Linked DNA regions of Callithrix jacchus. The protein of the gene in region 1 interacts with the protein of each later gene in a pairwise test. Links are inferred from orthologs where the notes say so. Each region holds a gene or a part of one and is shown on either strand. Other genes may lie near its edges.

Region 1 (7,305 bases):
CAAGTGTTATCAAAGGTGGGGAATACTAAAGTTTTAGAAATTTAGAATTTACAAAGTTTGCTAAATTTAGTAGCTATTTTATTAATTATGAGTAAATAGCCATATTTTCAGCGAGTGCTAAATTTAGTAGCTATCTCATTAATTATTTCTGCGTAAACAGCCATAAACGTTGAATAAATGAAGTGATTTTAAGAGAACCTGCTACACTTTTAAAAATACTGATATTCACCTCTACTGGAAAATAGAAACAAGAGACACCACATGCTGCTTTAATACCCTGATCTTTGTGCAGCAGCAATGTAAATTCAGTTTTGTTTTTAAGATAGCATGGACTATTTAAGACACAATGGTACTGTTAGTCTAAATGTTTTAAGAGGCCTATATAAACCAAGCAATTAACTTCCCTTAATTTTTCATGGACAAATAACCCAAAATGTGCTTTCTCCCTGCCCCCTCAAAATGTAACAGTCTAACAAAGACACCAGAAAAAGTCTGCCTTCTTTTGTAACTCACTGTAGTGAAAAGGCTTTAAGAGTCAGATGGGAATTTAAATGTCTGCTATTAAAAAGCAGCATGAACATCGACAGATAACTCTGAGAACTTATACCTCATTTTACAGATGAAGAAACTTACCAGGTAGGGCTGTTCTGAGGATTAACAACTATATAAATTCAGGCCTTCAGACTGTAATTTGGTATCTCTACCCAGATATATCAAAAACATCTGAACATTCAAAAACTGCCAAAGTAAGTATGGTTCTTTTCCCACCTTCAACTTTCTCCATTTGTCTCCTTAGACCAATTTATGGTCTGTCCAGTAGACCAGGCCAGAAAAACAGTATTTGGGACTCATCTGAATTCCAATCCCACCTTTATCTAAACCAATTAAGATTGATGATTCTATCTTCTCAATGTGACCTGACTCCTCCACCCCATCCTCTGAATCTATCCATATTAGGCATTCACCTTTCATTTTAACTGTCACATCACTGACTCTTGTCAACAGCATCCCCATTTTTCAAAAGTCTATCACTTCTACCACCTCCAAAGATCTAAATCAATCATACTTCCTTGTTTTAAATACTTCAAAGATTCCTAGAATTGTGGAAGAATACTTAACCTTAACTTTCTGGTCAATTCAATCAAATTTTTGGCCATTTCCCCGAAACATGACATGATACTACTTCTATCCATAATGGTTTTTTCCCTCTCTCTAGTGACTATATCCTTCCCTCAAAACACTATTTTTTGAAAAACCTTCATGATCTCTAGAACAAGTCCTTGAAAACCCTGACAATGTTTTAATTATCTTCCTATTTCCGACACTGCATCATAGCTGTAATAATCATAGATCCCAAATCACTAGCTGATAAATTAAAAGTTCATGAAAACCATCCAAACTTACAAGTCAGGACTTCAAATTTCTTAATGGAAAACAAAACAAAAACAAAAAACACTTAAGTGAGGAAATTAAAATAAAAACAAAAAACTTACTGTTTATTGTTATCAATTACGAAGTTTATTTTATCTCCGGTTTCTAGCTGAACGTTTCCTTCGACATCTTCAGGGGTGTAAGTCAGATAAAACACTTCCTGTGAATTAATACATCATTATTACTATTTTGGCAGGATGCATATTAACTGTATACTGTGATTTACTTAAAAATCTCTTATACTGGCATTTTAAGCCAAATTTCTTAAATACTTTATGACAAGTAAGTTATTTTATTCATATAAACACACACTTCCCCCTCCATGGTGCTGATGACTTCTGCAAGTCCACAGCTGAGCAGCAATCCAGCGTCAAAAAGCTTACACATGTGGAAGCATTTGCCCAGAGACTGTAGTTACATTTCAAAAAAAACAATTTTATATAAAACATTCCAAATAAAAAAGCTGGCGTTAGTGCTTAAAAGAAACCAGAAAAAAGATCCCCCCCCCCCACAAAAAACGTGATTAAAAGGAACATTTTACCTTAATGTTCTAACTAAGGTCATACTTGGGCAAGCTAAGACACTTGGAAGTCCTATGGAATTTTTTCTTTTTAAATATTTTGATTATGCTGCATTTGAAGCTTCTTAGAAACCAAATTTAAAACTGATTTTAACAATTGCAGCTTACGTTTTCTATTTTGAAATTTTAAAGTACGCTTATAGATCACATGGTGGATCAGGCAAAGGTTTAAGAAAAATACACAAGTTTACCCCATTACGTTCGTAGCATACACTCCCTGTTGGACTCTGACCCGGGGCAGCTGGAGATTTACTCTCTAAGTTGTGAGGAACAGCGCACACAACCTACCAGTCAAAAAAAAAAAAATTTCCATTGCTAATCATTTCAGTAGCAGCACTGTGCAATATAAACTAAATTTTAATATCCTCTATACTATACATAGGGATGCATTTTAGTATGATCCACAAGAGGATGTCATGCTGCCAAGTTTCAAACTTACAGTACATAAACTGACTGTAAGCATTGACTTAGGGTTATATGTAAAAACCCAATTGAGTCTTGACCACATTTTTATTTCAGGTCAAGAAATGCCAGTGCTTTTGATATAATCTTAAAATAGTAATCTTTATAAACTATAGCTCTCTTTCGTGCAAACTGAGGAGATGGGGAGAATCTTCCTTTTCTAATGTGAAAGATATGCAAATGCAGGGCCCTATAAAAATACAAAGCATCAAAGTCACTAACTTGTCCATTCATTCGTTCTTCAGGAAGGATTTCTTGTTTTATCTTCACCAGTTTAACAGCAATGGGTTTCCCAGTCCGCCGGTCAGATGACACTTCGAATTCAACATCATCTAAAATAAAGAATGTGTTACGTTTGTTTCACTTATTTTTTGCAAAACGTTATCTTGCTTCCAAGCTATACTTAACACAGCATTTGAATTGCCTTAGACCAGTGGTTTTCACAGCCTGGTGCCTGGACCAGCAGCATTAACATCACCTGGGAGCTTAAAAGAAATGCAAATTCTTGGACCTCACTCAAGTCCTACTTAAAGACAAACTCTGAAGATCAAGTATGGCAATCTGTGTTTTAACAAGCCTTTCCCATCATTCTGATACACACTCATGTTTCAGAACCAGCATCTTAGACTGAGAGCCATGTCTTAACGTTAGTTTTTATGGCATCTACATACACTGCAGATGAGATAATTTAACAATCATAACCTTTGGCAAGTTTTTTTTTTTCAACTCCTGTCCCTCAGTTTTCTCATATGTAAAAGGAGAAAAATTCCAAAGAGGAGTGCCATGAGGATTAACCAAAACAATGCTCATATAGATGCATCTTGTTAGCTAGTATGCTCTTTTCTCAAACATATTTTTTTTAAATGCAGAGGCCTCATAATTTCAGTCCTTTAGTAAGCCAAACAATTTGACATGTAAAAACATTTTTTTTTTTTTTTGAGACAGGGTCTCCCTGTCACCCAGGCTGGAGTGCAGTGGCATCATCTAAGTTCACTGCAACCTCTACCTCCTGGGCTCAAGCGATCCTCCCACCTCAGTCTACCAAGAAGCTGGGACTACAGGCACAAGCCACCTTGCCCGGCTAATTTTTGTAGAGATGAGGTTTTGCCATGTTGCCCAGGCTGCAAGCTGGTCTTGAACTACTTAGCTCAAGGAATCCGCCTGCCCTCGCCTCCTAAAATGCTGGGAATACAGGCTTGAGATACAATGCCACGCCTGTGAAAATAATTTGTATGGTATCAGCCAAGATGAATTTCCATATAATCTAAGACGTGACATTCTAAGAATTACTCTTTTCAGGTACTACCAAAAATAGTACCTGATAAAATAACATAAACAACATTATAGAAGTTCAATACTCCTACTGGCTTAAAATATTACAGGTAAACAGTCATTATTAGGGGAAACAACAATGAAATCTTCCAAGCATTTTATTGTAAATATATGCAAAGACATCTTTTAAGGATTCTGCTGGTTTATACAGATATTCTTCAGTAAACAGTACAACTAAAAGTCCAAAATGTTATTTACATAAAACACTTTTTTTGAAAAACATTCATGATCAAGTTAATATGCAAGACAAATTTTGTGATTACATTTTTACAAAGGAGAACTGACAAATTACCTCCTACTTTTAAGTCTTGTAGGTTGCCATTATACTGTGAACAGTGGAAGAAAAGTCTAGCTTGACGTTCTGAACACTGAATAAATCCATAAGAGGTTAACAGTTTTTCAATAACCCCAGTTTCACGCAGTGCTGCTGAAGTACCATTAGGGTACCCATTATGTCCATTGTTGTGGAGAAGGTTTGGATCAAAGCTCATCTGTTTTAAAAAGAAAAAGAATATATACAGATCTAGACATTATCTCCATAGCATATTAAGTCTTTAGTAAGTCACTAAATCTTCTATACAAAAAGGGGGGAAAAAAAAGAAAAAGGAAGATTATGGACTTTTATTACTGCAACATTTATTTAGCTAATAAAACATTTCAGAGAAAACAAGTTATACTGGGGAAGTGCCCCCATTTATGGTAGAATTTCCACTTACCAAATAAAAATAGAATTTCTGGGGTTTAATATTAAGGTATAGCAACTACTGCCTTTACATGAACTGAAAATTACTAAAACAATTTCAGAACAAAGGCAATTAACATTAAGAGACAGCAACCACAAACTACCAGACTCTTCCTTAAATGATTTGGTAACACCTACTTTGAAACTCCAGCTGATACCTTAATATTTAGTAAGTCATGCACTTGGAAGGCACATCTAAAGTTAGTAGAGATTAACAAAATAAACTTTCTATGCAATGCAATATTTAAACTAGAAAACTTCAGAGTAATTCATGCTTAGGTCCTTTAATAAAAGACTATCCAAAATAGTGCATTAGAAAACTTTTGAGACAAAACTCCAAGACAGCAAAAGCATTTTCATTTTTAAAATGCTGAATCATTTCACAGGCACATTAAAAGAAATCTTTACCTGAAAGAAATCCTTCACTTTTCACAAAGATGATGAAAACTGTAACTATCATTTCTTTCCCATTTAGCAAAATAGGAGCTATTTAAAAGTAATATAATGGAACCTGCCAGTCATAAAATACTATCACATCAGATGTTTCATTTTGCCTTATTTGAGTAAAACAACAAAACAAACTATAACTGAAGGACAAAATAAAATAGGACAAAATCCTTAGCAAAGCCTAGGTCTGTAACCACAGTAATGGCACTTCCAAATTATTACAATTATGTTTTAGGCCCTTTCATTGAAAATCTGATTTATAAGTATTTCCATTTAAGTGGATGTTGGGAATTATTAATAAAAAGGATGTATTTTCATTAGGAAAAAAGTAAAATTCTAGAAAGACAAACCAAAGTACGAGTCAACAATGTGTGTGGATAGTCAAATCATGTTAAATCAAAGCCACCACACCTGGAGGTAATTAAGTTCTAATTCTTTCACACTAGTCACCGTTCTGTGTTTGACATATATTAGCTCACCTAACTTTCACAAAAGCCCACAAGAAAGTATTAGCCTCATATTACCAATGAGAAAACAGACAGAGAAGTTAAATGACTTGCCAAAATCAAACAGCAGAATAAAACCAAGAAGGTCTGGCTCTAAACCAGAGCTTCTCAAATGAAGTTAACCAGCACTCTGGTTAAAATACAAAATCAGACTCTGGGCGTGGGGATTTTCCATCTCTATTAAGATCCAAGATGGTAACAATGCTTCCGATTCTTAGACATACCTTGAGCAGCAACACCCTAAACTACTGAAGTTATCTTCAGTACAGAGACTGAAGGTGAAAAAAAACATGAGGGAAGTTAGAGAGTGAGTCTGCAGGACATTTCAACCAGAATGAGTGGCAATCCTAGGTCATGCTCTTAACACAAAACAAGATAAGCTGAGATGGCTGCTTTCCTGACTTACAGATCTCTGATAAGTTGGGGTCCTCTTTTGTTTTTTAGTCCCAGATGAGGTAGAAGATGAAGATAAGGGTAAAGAAAGTGAAGGAGGGGCTGCAGGAGAGGGGTGAGGATCTGATGACACAGTAAAAACGTTCTCCATCTCACACAGCTGTTGTAACACAGTATAATGTTGATAAACACGATCAATAACAATTTAATGCACATTTGACAGTCAACCTTTACACATTTTTAGCTCAGGCTTAGCAAAATATAATTAATTAGATTTCTATTGACAGAAAATATAGAGCATTAACATTACTAAAAAAGGTGAAATGTATTTTTTTAAAGCCCTTAAAACATATGATGACATCTACAATTCTGAAAATGCCAGAAGGACTCTGATAGTTGTTAGAATAAGACTAGTCAGTCAAATTTCTTTTCAATGCCCAGCAAAACTTTAAATAGAACCTATCATTTTCAGTCACTAGTTTCCCCAAAGTAGAGTATACACAGATAATCCAATGGGGTGTGGAAGAAAATAATTGGAATGATTTTTCTGCCCATAAATAAAAATGAGCTTTTATAAATATTTACTACGTATTTATAGTCTAGGTCTCACCGAGTTGGTATGTCAGATGGTCTACAAGTATCATATACTATTCAAGTATTCTGAGGGAAGAGTAGAGAACTCTATAAGAGGACGACAGTGAAGTCCTCACTCATTTGCTCTTAGCATATTACAGTATGCTCAATAAGGAGATATACACTAGATATACAAATTTAGTTATCTAGTGTAACTAAACTACCTCCACAAATACATAAATGAGGCCAGGCGTGATGGCACACACCTGTAATCCCAGCACAAGGAGGCTAAGGTGGGCAGATCGCTTGAAGTCAGGAGTTTGAGACTGGCCTGACCAACATGGTAAAACCCTGTCTCTACTAGAAATACAAAAATTAGCCAAGCATGGTGGCATGAGCCTGTAGTCCCAGCTATTGAGGAGGTAGAGGCAAGAGAATTGCTTGAACCCAGGAGGGAGAGGCTGCAGTCAGCCAAAATTGTGCCACTCGACTCCAGCCTGGGTAACACACAGCAAGGCTTCGTTCCAGAACAACAAAACCAAACAGACAAAATGGTTGAAAGATTCTTGCAGAAGAACCTCAGATGGAAGATAAGGCAAACAAATATAAACAGCATAGGAACTGACATTTCTATTCCTAGTACTAGTTCTTCAACCTTCACATTAAGGAAGAAACCAGCTAATGAAATATGATAAGTATGCCAAAAAGTTAAAATCAAGACTATGATACGGATTTACATTAGATGAGATACAACATACTACATGTAGATTTACCTGATATTAATTCATTTATAAAGCTTTTTAAAAATGAAACACTTAAAAACCAGCAATCCAGAATGT
Region 2 (6,568 bases), on another chromosome or scaffold:
GGCCTACCCCCATGCCTGGCTAATTTTTTTTTTTTTTTTTCTGTATTTTTAGTAGAGATAGGGTTTCACCATGTTGGTCAGGCTAGTCTCAAACTCCTGACCTGTGATCTGCCCACCTCGGCCTCCCACTGCTCCCGGCCCCATCTCACAAATCTTAACTGAGCCAATTCCAAGGATGCATTTGTGAACACAACAACCCTGGTCCCTGGCATGTGGAGCCCTCAGCCTAGTGAGGGAAAATGACACAAGACAAGGAAGTGTGCAGGTCAGCAGGGAACTTCAGGCTGGGTGTGCCCCAGAATACATCTCTAGTGACATGGCAGCTTGACGTTCTAGAAAGATTTAAAGTCCTGAGTTTGTATCCCTGCCCAATCATTTCATTACTGGGGAACTCGGGCCAAGTTTATAACCTTCTTGGAGCCTCAGTTTCCCTATCCATAAAATGGGGATGATCTTGTCTGTGCCCTGCCTCCCTCTTGGCGTGGGAATGGCGGCTGGCACAGGTGGGATGCATATGGCTTTGTAAGCAGGACAGCTGTCTTCCTGGTCGAGGGGTGAGGGTGGGGGTCTCACTGCCTCCCAGGACTCTACATGGAGTATGGCCAGTGTAGACTCGGCCTCTCGGGCCTTGGTCTTCCTGGTTCTGCAGGGAGAAGGAAGGGATTGGGAACAGGAGGATGTTGTGTCACTCAGACCCAGGATGTGCAGGGATGGCTGGGGGTGCCCAGGAGTGAGCTGGCTCCTCCCCTACAGTGTCCCCCTACCTCAAGAGCCTGTCCATGGTGACTGCCAACAAGTTGCTGCACCTGCTGGAGGCCTTCTCCACCACCTGGTTCCTCTTCTCTGCTGCCCAGAACCACCACCTGGTCTTCTTCCTCCTGGAGGTCTTCAACAACATCATCCAGTACCAGTTTGATGGTGAGGCACCAGCCTGAGGCCCTGGCCATCAGGGTGGCCAGTGGACCTCCTTCCTACCTAAGGAGGGCACAGTCCAGGAGATGGCCTTCTGCCCTGGTTCTTTCATTCAGGGTACATTTATTGGGCACCGGCAGTGTACCTGGGTGCGGGGAATACAGTGGGGAACAAAGCTTTGCTTCTTGCCCTGTGGAGCTCACAGCTGGGGATGCAGGCAGGCAGGGAGCCTTCAAACAGATGATTACCTTCTAACAGGGCATCTGACTTTTGTGTGTGTGTGAGGGTGTCTCACTCTGTCGCCCAGGCTGGAGTGCAGTGTCGCGATCTTGGCTCACTGCAACCTCCAACCCCCCGGGTTCAAGCGATTCTCCTGCCTCAGTCCCCCAAGTAGCTGGGATTACAGATGCCCCCCACCACACCTGGCTACCTTTTTGCATTTGTAGTAGAGATAAGCAATCTGCCTGCCTCAGCCTCCCAAAGCGTTGGGGTTATGGGCATGAGCTGCTGGGCTGGACCTTTCCCTTTGTGGGATTTCACCAAGTTGGCCAGTCAGGGTCTCAAACTTGTGACCTCAAAAGATCCACCCGCCTTGGCCTCCCAAAATGCTGGGATTATAGGCATGAGCCGCCATGTCCGGCCTGAAATGGGATAAAAGGGAAGTGCAGAGTAGTGAGACCCTGATGGGTGTCTCAGCAGCTATCTGCCGAGTGTCACAGACACCTGGCTGCCGGCTGTCACTTCAAGCCTTGCCACTTGGCCCTGTGACTGGGGCATGTCATCTGACCTCTCTGAGCCTCTGTTCCCTCATATGTAAGGTGCTTGTAACAATGGTTCTAAGAGTCCCTGTCTCAGAGAGTGTTGGGGAGACTGAACAAAATAACCCCGAGAAGGCACTTAGCACAGCGCCTGGCAACTGAAAAACAATCCATTTTTATTATTGCTATTTCCAAAGTCAGTCAAATTTGCCGTGATCTCTGAGGGAGAACTAGGGGCAAGGTGGGGGAGGAGACAGCATGTGCAAAGGCCCTGCTGGTGGGATGTGGAGCTGAAAGTGGAGGAGTATGGCAGGAGGCAGGACCAGAGCCAGGAGAGGTCAGCGGCGGGGATGGATGGCAGAGACTCCTCCTGGCACCTTGCTTGGGGAGAGAGTCAGAATATTTAATGGCTGGCCTGGTGTGGACACTGCCGTCCTGGGGCCTGCCCTCTTTGCCAGGTGTTAGCCCTTTAGTGCTGGGTTGTGGGGGCGTCTTGGGCACTGGGGAGGGGTGTTGTGGGGTGCTCAGGCCTGACATCCTGGGATAGCCATAGTGGGCACACATAGCCAGTGCCAGCCTTGGCCCAGCACCCTCTCTTGGGCTCCCTGTACCATCCCCAACCCCTTTGGCAGACACCTTTCTGTCCTCCAAACTCCCCCTTCGAGGAAGCCCACCCCGATTGGATGGGGGATTGGGAGGGGCCTCCCTGAGGCGAGACATGCTCCCTGCCCACAGGCAACTCCAACCTGGTCTATGCCATCATCCGAAAGCGCAGCGTCTTCCACCAGCTGGCCAACCTGCCCACGGACCTGCCCACCATCCACAAGGCCCTGCAGCGGCGCCGTCGGACACCTGAGCCCCTGTCCCGTACCGGCTCACAGGAGGGCACCTCCATGGAGGGCTCCCGCCCTGCCGCCCCTGCAGAGCCTGGCACTCTCAAGACCAGCCTGGTGGCCACTCCAGGTCTGGTGTGAGTGGGTGGAAGAAGAGCATGGATACCGGTGTGGCTGGGGGAGAGACATGAGGATGTGACCTCAGGGTGTCACCCCCATCTCTGGCAAAGAGTGTGTCTTGCATTGGAAAGCTGAGGGGATGGGGCTGGGCAACAGGGATGGGGAGGGTACTGGGTGGGCTTAGCATGGGTAGCTTGGTGTTGGGGGCAGAGCCTCAGGGCAAGTGTAGACTGTGGAGAGGTGGGCACAGGAGAGGACGTTGCAGTGATCAGATACTGCCTCTAGAACCAACAGAAATTCCAGAGGGAAGCAGGGGTAAAATACAAACACAAATAAAAAATAAAGTGGGTGGAAGAAGGGCTAGAAGGGGGTTTTCACTCCCACCTGTGCCCTGCCCAGGCATTGACAAGCTGACTGAGAAGTCCCAGGTGTCAGAGGATGGCACCTTGAGGTCCCTGGAGCCTGAGCCCCAGCAGAGCTCGGAGGACGGCAGCCCGGCCAAGGGGGTGGGTGATGGGGACTCCTGGAGCTGGGCGAGGCTGCCCTTCCCTTCCTCCCTGGCTTCTGCAGTGGGGGCTGGGCTGGGGCGCTCTGGGGTCACCTGCAGGAGAGGGGCAAGCACCCAGTGCCCAGGGCATCAGGGTCAGTGCTGCTGACTCCCTTGGGGGTAGGGACCTTTCATAGACCCCTCCCTTGTTTACTGGTCCTGGCAAAGCCCTTGGCCTTCAGACTTCTCATCCCTCGGCCTTATCTGAGCTGGCCTTTACCCAGCCTGCCCTGTCAGCCGCTGGCCCTAAACCTGTCACTAGGTTGGGCTGGGCCTGGGGCCCGGGGCAAAGGCTGCTGGGCTGGGCCTTCTCCTTTGTGGGATTTCCAGCTGCCAGTAGAGAGAACTCATTGCCCCCCACCCCTCACCCACCCCCTCCATACCTCACCCCTGTTTCTTTCTGGGGGCCAGGAGTCCAGCCAGGCATGGAGGGAGCAGCGGCGACTGTCCAGCTCATCAGCCAGTGGGCAGTGGAGCCCAACGCCGGAATGGGTGAGGGACCCCATGCCCGGCGAGCGGGGTCTGGGGTGTGGGCAGATGGCACTGGGGTGGGAGCTGGCTTGGGGCTCCCTGGCCCAGGGAAGCTCAGTGAAGACTCATTGAAGATGGCTATGTGTCCGAATCAAAGGACCCTGGCATAGGAGCCTGCCTCCGGGTCAGTCCTTCCACTGGGTGACATCCCACATGTTTGGCCTCTCTCTGGCTCAGCTGCTTCCTCTGTCTACATGATTGCCAGAGTCCCTAGCAGGATTAAGCTCCAGTGCCCACAGTGTTCTCTTCCTTAATAAATCACTCTTTCCCACTTCCTTCCCTGAATCTCATCCCCACCTGCTGTGTCTCCTGAGATCACGCTGACTGCACTGGAACGGGGATAATTGCCGTCCCTGCCTGACCATGATATTGTGAGGGCTAAAGGCGACAGTCTCCCGAGAGGCACGTGGCACAGCCTAATGCAGGGCCATGGTGCTTGCCATTAATAACAATTAACTGTTCCCGGATCCTGCTTGGTACATTTACTGAGCACCGGCAGTGTACCTGGGTGCAGGGAATACAGTGGGGAACAAAGCTTTGCTTCTTGCCCTGTGGAGCTCAGAGCTGGGGATGGGGGCAGGCAGGGAGGATTGCCCTCTTACAGGGCATCTGACATTTTTTGTGTGTGTGAGGCTCTGTTGCCCAGGCTGGAGTGCAGTGGCATGATCTCAGCTCACTGCACCCTCCATCTTCTGGGCTCAAGCAATTCTCCCACCTCAGCCCCCGAGTAGCTGGGACTACAGGCATGCACCACCACACCTGGCTGCTTGGTGCCAGGCCTGTGCTGCGGGGAGCAGGGGCACTTTCTGCCTTGGGGAGCCCGTGGTGCTGGGTCAGGGTCAGGCTTGCCTTGCAGCCTCCGGGGGCTGCTTTCCCAGCCCCAGGAACCGGTCCGTCCCCAGGTCCTGTCCTGGAAGTCGAAGCTGCCACTGCAGACCATCATGAGGCTTCTGCAGGTGCTGGTTCCGCAGGTGGAGAAGATCTGCATTGACAAGTGAGTTGGGTGCCAGCAGGCCAGAGCGCGGGCAGGTGGGCTTTGGGCGGGGCAAACCTAGGCTCAGGTGAGCGTGTGATGGAAAGCACGGGTCTTGGGGTTCCAGGGTGATCCCTCTGCTCACCTAGACCGTGTGAGTGTGCTGGAGACACCCTCTCTCGATAGGGGCCTGACGGATGAGTCTGAGATCCTACGGTTCCTGCAACATGGCACTCTGGTGGGGCTGCTACCCGTGCCCCACCCCATCCTCATCCGCAAGTACCAGGCCAACTCGGGCACTGCCATGTGGTTCCGAACCTACATGTGGGGCGTCATCTATCTGAGGTGGGCCCCGGGGGGTGGGGTGGTGTCCACCTGAGAGCCTGTCCAGCAGGTCTCAGCAGGGACCTCTGCTCCGGGCCCCACCACCTGTGGTGGACTTCACGTTGAGACAGTCGACTAAGGCTGCCTTGCCTGCTTGAGGGTGGGCACCGGGATAGAAAGGGCTGGCTTGGCCATTCCTGCCGCCCAGCTCCTCCCGGTGCCTTGTCTGCAAGATGTCCCGGCACCCAGGTAACCCCCCATTTCCTCCACAGGAATGTGGACCCCCCTGTCTGGTATGACACCGACGTGAAGCTGTTTGAGATACAGCGGGTGTGAGGATGGAGTCGGCGAGGCACTCAGTCTAGGGGAGGGTGGGGCCCTGGTCCCTAAGGCTTCCCCCACCCACCATTCTGAGCTTTAAATGACCACGATCAGGGCCTGGGACAGGCAGAGTGGCCGAGTCCTGAGTGTCAGGCCCCAGAGACTCCTGTGACCAGGACAATGTGGACCAGCTCTGATCGCCTCAGCCCTCAGGACCAGCTCTGATCCCCTCAGCTGGACTCACAGGAGCCCCATCTCTGGGGCTATGCCCCCGCCAGAGACCACGCTCCCAACACTTGGACTCCTTCCTCTTTTTTTTTTTTTTTTTTTTTTTTGAGACGGAGTTTTGCTCATTACCCAGGCTGGAGTGCAATGGCGCAATCTCAGCTCACCGCAACCTCCGCCTCCTGGGATCAGGCAATGCTCCTGCCTCAGCCTCCCGAGTAGCTGGAATTACAGGCACGAGCCACCATGCCCAGCTAAGTTTTTGTATTTTTAGTAGAGACGGGGTTTCACCATGTTGGTCAGGCTGGTCTTGAACTCCCGACCTCAGGTGATCTGCCCGCCTTGGCCTCCAAAGTGCTTGGATTACAGGCGTGAGCCACCACACCTGGCCCGGACTCCCTCTTCAAGAACTGGCTCAGCGCTGTCCCTCAGTGCGCTCCCACCTAGTGTGCTCCCATTCCTATGCTGCCCAGCCCCAGAGGCAGAAGCCACTGGGTCACTGTGCCCTAGGGGTTTGACCAACGAACCATGGGCTGTCCCTTGAGGGGCCTGGGCAGGGTGAGGGGTGCTTGAGCCGGCTGTTCCAGGCTCCAGGGGAAAGAGATGTGGCCAGGCTGCTCCTCAAGGAGGCTTGGAGCTGGCTGACCGCAAAAGCCAGGCTGGGGCACCTCCAGTACCCTTGGCGTGTGGTGTTGGGTGGTGAGGGGCTTCTGCTGTATTCTCCTGGATCTCTCTTACCCAGTAATAGGGGGCAGGGAAGAGAACTGGGGGCAGCCGTTTAGTCCTCCCTGCCCTGCCCACTGTGGATGGGGCGATGCCACTCCTCATCCTGCACCCTGGCTCAGACCTCTGGGTCCTGCCCCCCAACCCCTGTGTCAGAACAATCTTTGCTCTGTACAATCGGCCTCTTTACAATAAAACCTCCCACTCCACACTCTGACTCTGTGGTTGAGGCGCGGGGCCAGGCATGGCTCTTGTCTTCAGGGGAGCTGGGGACTCTGCACCCCAGGGGGCCCCCAGTGCA

What was found.
Region 2: the proteins of CSDE1 (region 1) and HID1 interact in binary tests that used the Homo sapiens proteins (3 or more experiments, as listed by UniProt). The two-hybrid records come from large-scale screens. The link is inferred for Callithrix jacchus from reciprocal best matches to the Homo sapiens genes CSDE1 and HID1.

The regions. Positions count from the first base shown.
Region 1 is NC_133508.1:152,717,530-152,724,834, forward strand, and holds part of CSDE1 (cold shock domain-containing protein E1), read right to left. Parts: intron 6,054-7,305; 5' UTR 6,045-6,053; coding exon 5,907-6,044; intron 4,297-5,906; coding exon 4,098-4,296; intron 2,806-4,097; coding exon 2,696-2,805; intron 2,296-2,695; coding exon 2,203-2,295; intron 1,592-2,202; coding exon 1,494-1,591; intron 1-1,493. UniProt on the Homo sapiens protein: RNA-binding protein involved in translationally coupled mRNA turnover.
Region 2 is NC_133506.1:130,880,105-130,886,672, reverse strand, and holds the end of HID1 (protein HID1), read left to right. Parts: intron 1-753; coding exon 754-918; intron 919-2,405; coding exon 2,406-2,633; intron 2,634-3,022; coding exon 3,023-3,129; intron 3,130-3,581; coding exon 3,582-3,662; intron 3,663-4,603; coding exon 4,604-4,695; intron 4,696-4,860; coding exon 4,861-5,019; intron 5,020-5,270; coding exon 5,271-5,334; 3' UTR 5,335-6,478; downstream 6,479-6,568. UniProt on the Homo sapiens protein: May play an important role in the development of cancers in a broad range of tissues.